Caenorhabditis elegans: one gene and its partner. The protein of the gene in region 1 purifies or fractionates together with the protein of each later gene. This does not show direct contact. Each region holds a gene or a part of one and is shown in the gene's direction. Other genes may lie near its edges.

Region 1 (5,626 bases):
TATTAGCCGTTTTGGACGTGGACTATTTGGCTCATGTTTATCAACCACTGAGTGAACATCTTCATGGAATAATTTCTCACTAAAAGTGATGGGATTATTTTAATTTTTGTTTCTTATTTTATATAACAATACTTGCATAGTACAAATATAAACTTTGTTTTACTTGCTGATTTCTCAACCATAAGTTAGAAGCCCAACACTATAAATGCCGGGTATCACATGAGGTTGGCCATGTAGATTGTTTGAACGAAGAGGCCACCAGTAAAGTTTTTTATTTTATTTATGATACATAGATTCACTTCTAAATAACACTAGACTTAATTATCTATCTTTCATTCCGAGGACTAAATGGACCAATATATGCTTCAATCACTCCTATAGCCAATTGTTAAAAAGTACAAAATAGTGTGGTTACAAAATTCTCAATTATAACATTTCCCCATGACTGAAAAAATTAAACTTTTTTTAAATTTTGACTGCACATGATGTGCACTTATCGTAAACATAAACAATGCACCCGTTCCATTCTCAGCGGCTTCGCAGGAATCAAAAACTCGGACGCCCTATTTAATTGGCCTCAACAATTGTGTTTAGCTACAGTAGTTTTTCCGGAATAGTTATACTAAATTTATAATTATTTAAAACAAGAGTGTGGAAGCATCTACTTGACAGTATATATTAACCATTACTTTAAGCTATGGATGGTGTAGAATAAACTCCAGAAGGAATGGTGTAAAAAGCTGATTCTATAGTTACTCGTTTTTCTAAAGAACCGCGGGGGCCTGGGATGTCAGAGTTATGTTGCATTAAGGTGACAAGTTGGTGACATGCTACCATAAATATAAAATCTTAGAATTGTCCGAAAAAGTTTTGTGGATAATTCGAAAAAAAGTACAAAAACTTATGGGACGACCTGATACAAAGGCACAAAGCACATTTTTGAATAGTTAACAAGCGCTCAGTCATGATGGTATCGTTTGAATTGGAATTAAAAGTTTTGAAGTGGCCTAGAAAAAGCGAAAACTAGGCCAAACCTCAAAAATGGTATTAATTCAAACATGTGATTAAGAAGCAAGTTTCAAAGTGTCACTGGGGTTTCTTTAAAAATTAGAAAACCCTCGGTAATTAACAACGAATGGGATCATTAGCAGAAATTTTTTTTTTAATCTGTGGTTAACTCGGCCACCCATATTTTTTGAGGCCGGCCACGGGCCGAACTTTATCTTACAGTTTAATGAAGTCAAAGGCAGAGTAGCGCCAATGGGAAAGTTTTGCAAACCTTTCCTATGATGCCAAAATGGCCAATGTGGCAGTTACTGAATTTTTGCCACTTTTTGAGAAATTTATAGCATTGTCGCTTGTTCGAATACTAATATAAAATTCAAACTTATTTTTGATTGACGACGTATAAAAAAACGAATTAATCGAGTTAAAAACTTCTCGAAAAAATTTTGGCACTTTTTTTTGTGCAGTAAAAAAGTAGTGAAATCTCAGCAATTTTAAGTGCAAAAATATATTATAAAATAGAAGTTTTTCAAGTAGGAACTCCAAGTCTAATTTTGGAACAAATAATTTCAAATTTTTGAGAATGTCGTGTAAAATTTTAACTTGTTGAATGCATTCATAGTGTAATTAATCAAAAAAAAATCGTTCAGTTTTAAGCCACCATAGGTGTTTTAAAAAATTGCATTGCCTCTTGGAAAAAAAAAACATATTGTTCAGTTTTTAATTATTTGTTCTACTAAAACAACATAGTCTCATTGATTCTTGAGTCTAGTTTCCATTGGAACTACTACAACAAATGTAACCAATTGAAATTGTCATCCCGATGGAAATTGCTCCCAATTGTTCAATGTTTTCCGATCTTCTTCTGCAACGTTTTCAAAGCAACTACTACTACAACAACGATGTCAGCTGACTTTTGGAGTACTTTTAGTCATCAAAAAAAAAAGTCTTGAACCATATAAACAAGATGACAAATAGATCAGAAGCTCCGCCCCACGTTTGGGGCAATCGCCATAACCGAAGAACCAACAGTCTCCGGAACCGAAAAACGGGAAACTCCCCCTTTTTCAAAGCACTCATGATTTTTTCTGGAGTCTTATCAGCAACTTTTAGAGCAACACGTTATCTTTGTAAAACAGCCCACTCTCCTGTTCACATGCCATTTTTTGTGTATAAAAAGACGACTATTCCTCTAGTTCTTCGATACTTTTGTAATAAAATTGTCTAGTTTGTGAAAAATAGTTTGCAATCATTTAATTTCGTTCATTTTTAACCTTTTTTGTTAACCACTTTTTAAAATCGAATTTTTAAGGTTCGGCCAATTTTTTGTTGACAAATCCGGCAATTCGGCAAACTTCCCGTTTGCCGATTAAACTTTCGTTTCCGGCAAAAAATTTCCCGTTTTTTCTAGATATTTTTAAAGAATTATAATTCTATAGCGCACTTTTGAAAATAGATGTAGGGGCATTCAGACAATTTTGCCGTTTTTATCGGCAAATTCGGCAAATTGGCAATTTACCGGTTTGCCGATTTGTCGGAAATTTTCAATTTTGGCAATTTGTGGATTCGCCGGAAATTTTCATTTCCGGCACAATGCCGATTTGCCGAATTGCCGGACTTTTGAGCTTCAGAAGCTCAATGGCTTTTTCCACTTGACCGCGAAAATAGAAAATTAAAAAAAAACCGTTTTTGACAATTTATTTATCATTGCATAAAAAATTGCTCGACTTTTATCCTTTTTATCAAAACATCCATCATTTTTCTTAATTCAACATTTCTCTTTTCAGAAATTTTCCCCCACAAAACATGGTGCAATCCGGAAACGAAAACCCAAAGCCCCTGGTGGCAATTTTTGGCGCCGGAATGATGGGAAGCGGCATCGCACAGGTCTGTCTTCAGGCAGGCTATCCCGTCAATTTGTACGGTAGAAGCGAGAAGAAGCTTTTGGAGGCCAGAGAGACTATCAAGAAAAATCTAATTCGTGTCGCTAGCAAGAAGAAGACCGACGTTCCGATGGAACCAGCAGCCTTGGAGGAAATTGCTCAGATTCAACTTGATTTGCTCCAGATTCATACTGATGTAAGTCTTAAGTTTAAGCTTAGGCTTAAGCTTAGGCTTAAGCTTAGGCTAAGACTGAGGCTTATGCTACACCTTAGGCTGTCTACACCCGGTCTATAAAATCTGGAAGTAAAATATTTCAGATTCCGTCCGCTGCCGAAGATGCTGCAATGGCGATTGAGGCTGTGGCCGAAAACTTGGATCTGAAACTTGACATCTTCCAGACAATTCAGAAAACTTGCCCACAGTGAGCATTAAATTTTTTTAAAACATTTTTATAATTTTTTTTTCAGAAACTGCATGCTTATCACGAACACCTCGTCTCTAAAACTGTCTCAAATGCTCCCAGTTATTCAGAACCCGGCACTATTCGCTGGGCTTCATTTCTTCAACCCTGTTCCAGTGATGAAGCTTGTAGAAGTTGTATCAACTGATGAAACTTCTCCAGAGACCACAAATTTCTTGTTCAACTTCTGCAAAGAAATCAAAAAGCTGCCGGTCGCCGCGAAGGATACTCCTGGATTCATTGTCAACCGGCTATTGATCCCATATCTTATGGACTCCATTCGCATGCTGGAACGTGGAGATGCAACTAAAGAAGATATCGATACAGCCATGCGATTTGGAACTTCTTACCCAATGGGACCAATTGAATTGTGTGACTATGTTGGACTTGATGTTCTGCAGAGCACTTTGAAAAGTGAGATTTACCAACTCCTTTTCTAGGTTTTATTGAACCCTTTCTAATCTTTCAGTCTTCCGCGAAACCATCCCTGGTGACGCCCGTTTTGCACCAATCCCACTTATGGACAAATTGGTCGCTGAAGGAAAGCTTGGCAGAAAAACGAAGCAGGGATTCTACACGTATTGAACACTTTTTGAGCATATTTTTTGTGTACACTACTTGCCAGCTTTTTGATGTATATTTTGCTTCTTACAGGTCATAGTTTCAGAGAAATAAATATTTACATTTGAAGTTTTTGATAATCTAGAATTTTTGTAATAATGTCCATAACATGGAAAATGTCTAAATTGGCACATTGAAGTAATTCCCAAGTTGAAGTAAGTTGTCTCAGGAAAAGTACACTACCGAACTGGTGCAACTCTATATTTACTAAAAATAAATTTCTGGAACAGTTTTTTGGTATTTTTCAAATAAGCTAATATATTTTCTTTGTAATATTCAAGAGCGTATCTATTAAATTTATGTTTTCAAATGTAAATTAGAAATTCTTAAATATTGCCAAAAAATAATTTAAAACAATTTTTTGAAAAACGATTCAAAGATTATTCACAATAAGATTATTGAAAAATATATGATAAGACGTTTGTAAAGTTTAGTTTCAGATCAATAATAAAAATTGTTATATTTTGCTCATGAATTATTTATTTGCTTATAAAAAAATCTTTTAGATAAATTCATCTATAACCTCTCAAATTCTTCTTTCTCTTCTTTTTCCTCCTTCTCTGGTAGTTGTGACAATTTCCTGCCAACCGTTGATAAGCTATTGGTTTTCACCAAGTAATAAATAAAGAACATATGACCACAAGAGACGAACCCGTAAGAAATAAATATACAAATTGCAAAAGTTGCCGGTAATGGGAGAATAATGACTAGAACATCTTTTAAAACGGAGAACGTTTGGCACAACGCGTTGTGCATTCCGAATACTGTATTTCGTTCTCGTTCTGGGATGGTGACTTGCATTATGTGAGTGATAGCCAGATCCAGGCACCACAATCCTGAAAATTGATTATTAAAATTAATTTTTAAAAAATTCCTGATTTTTTTGACATTTCCTAATATGTATTAGTTAAAACTTGAAATTTGACCGGCTTTTCAAGCGGCTGGAAACAATTTTTTTTTTGTAATTACTGTCAAATTTTGAGTACAAAATGTAATTATGTTGCGTTTTCAACTTGAGATTTTTAATTTTTTTAAACCAAAACTTGCCGTCCATCGACTTTAAAATACCTATATGAAGTTAAAACACAAGATAATTACATTGTATACTTAAATTTTGACCATGGTTTCAAAAAAAGATAGTTTCCAGCCGCTTGACAAGTCGGTCAAATTTTCAATTTTAACTAATCTTAGCCCATTTTTTGAGCCGTCATAACTTTTTTTTGAGAATTTTTCAAGGAGTTTCATTATAAAATTAGGAGTTTTCAGACAATTTTGAGCCTGATAAGGTAATAAAAAATTCGACTACACCACCTTAAAAAAAACCCAAACTCACCATATCTTGCGGATGCAATCGCAATCAAGAACACAAAGATGCTGGCCAAACTGACACCATCAGACGAAAAGTGCTTCCAATCAACATGTGGGTCCAAGTTTGTAGCGTTATTCCCGTCGAAAGAGTGAACCATATCGTGCCACCAAGTTCCCATAGTGAAGTTTCCAAAGTATCCACCAAGGTTCATAGGAGATCCCGGGAGGAACACGGATATAACTGCTAGAACCGCAAAAAACTGCTGAACAACCAATCCCAGTAGTCCTGAAGTGGCGACACTGTATCGCTTTTCGAAGAATGCGTAGGAAAACGCTCCAAGGATCGCA
Region 2 (6,830 bases), on another chromosome or scaffold:
TTTTAAATAATTTTCAAAAGTTTAAGTGGATGAATGTGGTGAAGGATCGGAGAGTGAGCAGCAGGTTCTACGAGGACTCATGGCTTTTGTTCTACTATCGTGCTTGAAGAATTTACAAAGTAAGGAAGCACGATCATCGATGGAAATATTGATTCAAAGACGTGTTGGAAAGGAATTGATTCTGTCCGCATTGGAGGGACTTTCAAGAACCGAGCAATTTGTTAGAGCAGCACAAAAGCAGCAGCCGACAAATGAGCTTTTCCTCGATTTCCACTTTGTTAAACTTTTCAAATCTCTCGAAGGAACGTTGGCTAAGCAATTGAAACCGAATGGAGAATTTAATGGAACTAGCAATGATAGCATCATTCAATCATATAAAGAACTCATAAAACGGCAAGATGGTGATATTGCCCAATTGAAGCAAGACAATAAGCGAATGAGTCTTGAGATTGAGAAATTAAATGCAGAAGTTCAGAATAAGCAAATGGAACGAGAAGTTGAGAATCTTCGTGTGAGATTAGAAGAATCTGAAGCATTTAAAACTCAAAATGAAGTGCTGAATAGTCAGCTAGTAGAGTCACAGAGACTCACACAACAATGGTATGCAGAAGCCGAACGATACAAGCAATGGGCTCAACAATGGCAAGCCTATCAGTTGGCACAGCTTCCGAATGGTGTAGAGACGGGATTGGCTCAGCTTCAGCAACAAGTCAACGAGTTGGAGCAGCAACTCGGATTTGGATATCAGGCATTCGAACAGCAATCACAAACGGTATGGTAGACAGGAGATTTTATCAGAAAATCGAAAAATCGAAAATTTTCGTTTTTTCGAAAAAAAAATTTGTCGATTTTTCAAAAATTAGCTTAAAATTTTGGTCAGGGTTCTTCTTTTTTTGATGAAAATATTTATTTTTTTTCTCATCAATAAAACAAAAATTTGATTTTGTAAAATCATATTTTGTGGTTAATTTTCGGAAATTTTTTTCGATTTTCCGGAAAATCGAAAAATCGAAAAATGACACAATTGGATCAAAAAACTAAACATTTAAATCTGCGAAAATCAAAAAAAACCAAAAAACAATTCGATGCTTAAATTTATTCGAAAAATTTTTTTTCGGCTTCCGTTTGGTCTAAAATAAAAAAAATAACCAAAAAAAAATAAAATAACCATAAAAATAAAATTTACATATTTCAGATGCTCCACTATACATCAGAGAATGCAAATCTTAAAGATAGACTCGCGAAAACGGAAGCTGCTCTCGCTGAAGCCAATTATAAAATTGAGCAATTGAATTTGAAGCCAATTTCGAATGGAATAGTTGTGGAGCACGAACCACAGGTAGAATTCGAGTGGAATTTTCGAAATTTCAGGAATTTCTAGAAAAAACACTGAAAAAGTATAATTTTATTGGAAAAGATGGAAAATCTTACCAAAATTATCGATTTTTTCATTAAAAAATCGAAAAAATGTGTAAAATTTCAGTTTTTCGAAACCTTGATTTTTTAACAGATTTCTTTTTTTTAAGAAGGAAAAAATATATATATATATAAAAATAGTTATATATTTGAGGTTAATTTGAGCAAAACTTGATAAAATTTCAATTTTTTTTTTGAAAAAAGCTGAAAAAATAATAAAAAATTCTAAAAATATCAAACACTTAAAATATAATTTTTCTATGAAAAAATTAATTATTTCGTTTTTCAAAAAACTACTTTTAAATTTTGGTTCGATTTTTTCTGAAGAAATTATTTTTTGCTACAGATTTTTCATCCACTTTTTCATTTTTTTTTCAATTTTCTCTGGAAAAAAACTAAAATAAAAACGTTTCGATGAGTAGCTTTTGAGCTTTATCTCAGTGAAAATAATTCAAACATTTCAAATTTTCAGGCTGACTCCGAAGAGTTTTCAAAACTGAAACAAGAACAAGAAGAACTTCTGATGCTTCTCGCTGATCAACACAATAAAATGTCAGCCTACCGACGCCTTCTTCGAAACCTAAAACAGCCAGTGACAGATGATGAGGACGAGTAATAAGGCTGTGGGATTACTAAAAATCGGGTTTCTTTTTTGTTTTCTTTGGGGGGTCAATCTTGTCATAGAACATGTAATACTTCCAATCAACTTTTCTTTTTTTAAATCGAATAGGTTTCCTGTATAATATTTAATTTATAACGCATACACCGTACTTTCGCAGGATTTTTTAAGTGTCTTCTTAAAGGCGCACAGGTTTTTTTCAGATATGTTTCGGCTTTCTTGTTTTTTTTTCTCAAACTGATTTAAAACAATTTTTAACTTATGTGATAAATGCAAAGAAAATAAACAAAATTAAATACCATAAAAATTTTTTTGGGCTCGCCGAGACCCATAAAACCGTGCGCCTTTAAGAAGACATCTCAGAGATCTTGTAAATCTACGATATCGTATTCGCCGTGATTTTGCTGGCAAAATATTTTCTTCCTGTTTTTTTTGTATCCCTACCTACTCTTTCCATTTCGTTCAAACCACACTGTCTTCTGTGATACCGAAATTATGTTTTTTTTTTCCTTTCAATTTTATTTATGTAAAACTTAATAGTAAATATGGTCCAAATAAATTATTGATTGATTCCGAAATCCATCATTCTCTCTCTCAGGTTGAATGGGGATTCGGTGAATGATCAAATGATATAACGAACCCGTCTATTCTCCATATCAATAGTGATTCGGAAGCCGGTTCGTTCCTCTCGCCTGCTTCTCCTGGCCCGCGCATCTGCCATTGTTCTTCGCCTGTACACACCCTTTTTGCCTCTCGAAAATAATGATCTGGAAGAAATTTGCACTTTTGCTCATTTTTCTACCATCTCTAGAAGCATGTCATGCTCAATTTCAAAAAGAGCTTCGATATTTAGACTTGTATCTTGGTATTAGGCCAGATAATAATGGAGAGATTCCTGTGGAAGGTTGGTTTTTTGGTTTTTTGAAGGAATTTACTGTTTTTTGCTCCGAACGAAAAAAGTCTAAATTTTCGATTTTTTGGAAAAATTCAATTTTTTTTCAATAATTTATGGCCACATCCCGATTTTTTAAAAATGTTTTTTTCAACATTTTCCAGTTTTTTTTGGATTTACTCTGAATTTTGACGAGATTTTTTTTTCCAAAAATTTAAGCTTTATCGGAAATTTACTTGATTTTGTAGTTCCTTATTAAAGGCGCACGGAATTAAAAGTTCGCGGTAGTTTAATTTTTATTTAAACTTTGAAAACTGATTGTCAACGATTTATTACAGCTGAAAACCATGTGATTTCATTGAAAAAAAATACAATACTACATCCAATGAACAAATAAAACTACCATAAACTTTTTTGCGCGCCGAGGCCCGTCTGAATAATTCCGTGAGCTTTTAATGAAGTACTTCAAAATCTACAGTAGTACAGTAGTAGTAAAATTACGGTATTTTATCCAGATTTCGCTAATATTTCGCTAATTTCTGTAACAAAAGTATGTAACAACAATAAATCAGCCGATTTTTACTTTCATAAAAAATCTGGTTTTAGATTCGTTCTTAAAAATTAGTGATAAATAAGCAATTTTAATGTGAAGTGTTTTTTTGTTTTTAAACAGCTAAAATTATCAAACCACGAGGATCTGCAAAAAAAAACCACAATCACGTGGATTTCAGAGGCCGTTGGATTTGCCACGTATATTGAGTCACCTGATGAACTCAACTGTGACTTTGAGACCGAATGTCTTTGGAGAAATGCGCCGACTGATAAGCTTTTGGATACCAGTGATTGGTGGTATTTTAAGGTTTGTTATTCATGAAAAACTTTCCTTCAAATGTCTTGTGCCATTCTATTCTTTTTTTGGAATATAAAACCTTTTCTGAGTGGGTCTTGTCACGATCTCAGTTATAGATTTCGCTGAATACAAACTTTGAATGTGGTATAATTGTTCAATTAGAAATAAAAATGTATGTGAAATTCCATATCCTACGCTATATGTAGGCCAGGGTATAATATACAATATTTAGCTTTCAGTTTTGAGACGAATAATATGTAAAAGATACCAACTAATTTTGGCAACTAATTGGTTTTATGAACTAGTTTTAACTGAAAGTTTCAAAAAAAAAACATTTCAAAAACTCGATTGAAAGTGGCAACATTTCGAGAATTTATTCAGACAATTCAATTATACAGTTCAACTTTAGAACCATTGGAAAGTTCACCAAAAATTATAGAAAAAATTTGGAACGCTTCACGAATTTGCGTGTCATCCTTGCGCAGGGGCCATGCTAATCTTCTCTGTATTGTTCCAATTTTAGTATATGTTCTCGGAAGAACGAACAGTTAGATTTACATTTCAATTATATAGGGACCATTTACACAGCAGCTGACATATTTGGAGTTATGTAAGACACTATGACTATGCTAGGGAAGTGGAGATGCAAATCGATATTGGTATCGCTATAGAATAGGTGCACAAATTATTGATCTACATCTACATTTGGTATAGTGTCTTACATAACTCCAAATATGCCAGCTGCATTGTTAATGGTCCCTATATAATTGAAATGTAAATCTAAATGTTTGTTCTTCCGAGAACATATACTAAAATTGGAACAATACAGAGAAGATTAGCATGGCCCCTGCGCAAGGATGACACGCAAATTCGTGAAGCGTTCCAAATTTTTTGACGATTTTGTTAGACAAATCTATAAATTCTATACTTACAATTTTTCAAAACTTTTTTAAAAAATTAAACAATTTCAGAAAAATGACGAGAAAACTTTCCCAGTTCAAATCCAGCCCGGAAATCCTGTAATTCCAAAAGGCGAACATTTTATAATTGCTGGAAATACGACGAAAAATCCGAATGGAGCAGTGTTGAGCAGTGCTCCAATTGCTTGTCAAAAAGGATTTGCCAACTTGACTTTCAGGTATTGTCAAAGATAATTTTAAGAATTTTAAGCACAAAGTTGGAGGGCCTAAATTTTTTTTGAAATAAAATGTGTTTGCTCTTCTTTGAAAGCTTAGATCTCTACTGTCTTTGCATTTTTTTTAATATGTAAAAAACGAACTAAGCGTTCTTCTATGATTCAATAGTTTGAAAAATGCTGATATAAAAAAAAAAAATCGAAATTTTTAGTAATCTTTATATGACGCACAATTTCTCGTTTTTACTACAAAAATATTGCTATTTAATATTTTCATATTAGATTTGAGTTGCCTGAGTAAAAGCTCACAAAGTATGCGATCGGCAAAATACTGTGCTCTAACTAACATAGATTCCAAAATAAAATTATAATCCCAGTTATATCCTTCTAGCTTCTGGCTATACAACAATGCTCAAGTGGAAGTTATCATCCTTCGAGCAATGAATCGTAGACGTCATCTTCAAGTCTTGCTCAGACCAAAAATGAAGTGTGATTTCTTGGGAGCCGCCAATGAGGAATGTCGTGTCGAGATTCCGCCGATTAAGGAACCGTTCAGAATTGGAATTCGAGCATTTGATCTCAAAGATAATACTGTTGGAAGTTTGGCAATCATTGATCATATCAGATATCACGGAAAGATTTGCCAGCAATCACGTAAGTTTTAAAGTTATTCGAGATATGAAGCAGTCAAAATCAAATTGGCGCGCAAAAAAAACGATATTTTTAATCCTTTTTTAAAAGATTTTGTTCTGTAAATTTTTCAAAATAAAACTAGATTTGTTAGAGAAGTTTTAAACTTTCACTGAACATCCAGAAAAATCCAATGCCTCACTCTTCATAATCTAACAAAATATCTCAATCACTCCCATTTTACCTAAAATTAATTATTCCAGCATTCCCATCATCATTCTCATCTCTTCGTATTCCTCCATATGATAATAGTCCACTTCAAAGAATGTCTGATTTGAGTTGTGAACGCCCGCTACGATCCTGTCGATGGGGAAATATGGCCAAATCTCAATTAAGTGAATGGAGAGTTGGTAGATCAATTGATCGATGGGTTGATATGTTTGAGGTTTGTTTTAATTAAATCTTGGAAATAAGATAATTTTTTAAACAACATTTTGAAGCATTGATATCTTCAAGCGAAATATGGGATCGAACCACTAAAGTTAATTACCGTATTTCCTCTATTATGGGGTTATTCAAGTAGTGTCGGAAAATTAAAAAGTGTAGAAAAATTACGTCACACATGTATTCAAGTAAATAAAAACATGTATTTAAATACATTTGTGACGTCACAAATGTATTTAAATACATTTCGCTACATTACTTGAATAACCCCATTAGTACTTCACCCCATTGTTCAACTTTCACAGCTTATATCTCAGTCATCGTTTGTCCTATTAAAAAATTGTCAACTAACAAAATATTTTTTAACTTTATTTCTATCATTTCGTAGTTAATAATACATTGATATCTTCAAAATGAACCGAGTTCAAAGTTAAGTAGTGGGGTGCAATACTAATAGAGGGAATACGGTAAAAACAAATTTTCGTCAGTATGTCAATAATTTAAAACCCATCCAAAGTGCAGAAAAGTGATGAAAAATGAGTTGTATGAAGCATTAGACAGGTATTCATCTCTATGAAGTGGCCTTTTTAACTGTTTGTTAAAAAATAATTGGGCAATCCACACGTTTTGAAAATTTCAACAGCTGAATACTCTCGGCCGACAAACTTTCTTCATACGTTCTTGGAATATTTCCAAAACTTCTACTAATAAAACTTTTGACTTCTTCTATTTAAATGTTTTGCAACAATATAGGCTTATTTGGCAGCTTCAGAAGTTTCAATCCGGAGACTTGCCAAAGTTGGCTGAAACAATGAACTCAAAAAATTTGGAATTTTGAAATTAA

Evidence for each region.
Region 2: the proteins of hacd-1 (region 1) and mam-3 fractionate together in Caenorhabditis elegans (co-fractionation; one large-scale study listed by BioGRID). This does not show direct contact.

Annotation. Positions count from the first base shown.
Region 1 is NC_003283.11:1,457,577-1,463,202, forward strand, and holds hacd-1 (3-hydroxyacyl-CoA dehydrogenase), read left to right. Parts: upstream 1-2,792; 5' UTR 2,793-2,811; coding exon 2,812-3,084; intron 3,085-3,206; coding exon 3,207-3,310; intron 3,311-3,356; coding exon 3,357-3,763; intron 3,764-3,818; coding exon 3,819-3,934; 3' UTR 3,935-4,037; downstream 4,038-5,626. Other genes in the region: fpn-1.2 (Solute carrier family 40 member), read right to left, coding at 4,487-4,806, 5,304-5,626.
Region 2 is NC_003282.8:13,441,234-13,448,063, reverse strand, and holds the start of mam-3 (MAM domain-containing protein), read left to right. Parts: upstream 1-2,688; 5' UTR 2,689-2,797; coding exon 2,798-2,939; intron 2,940-3,658; coding exon 3,659-3,786; intron 3,787-4,217; exon of another isoform or gene 4,218-4,319; intron 4,320-4,562; exon of another isoform or gene 4,563-4,680; intron 4,681-4,748; coding exon 4,749-4,915; intron 4,916-5,303; coding exon 5,304-5,566; intron 5,567-5,805; coding exon 5,806-5,987; intron 5,988-6,830. Other genes in the region: uso-1 (Uso1_p115_head domain-containing protein), read left to right, coding at 27-772, 1,196-1,339, 1,889-2,032.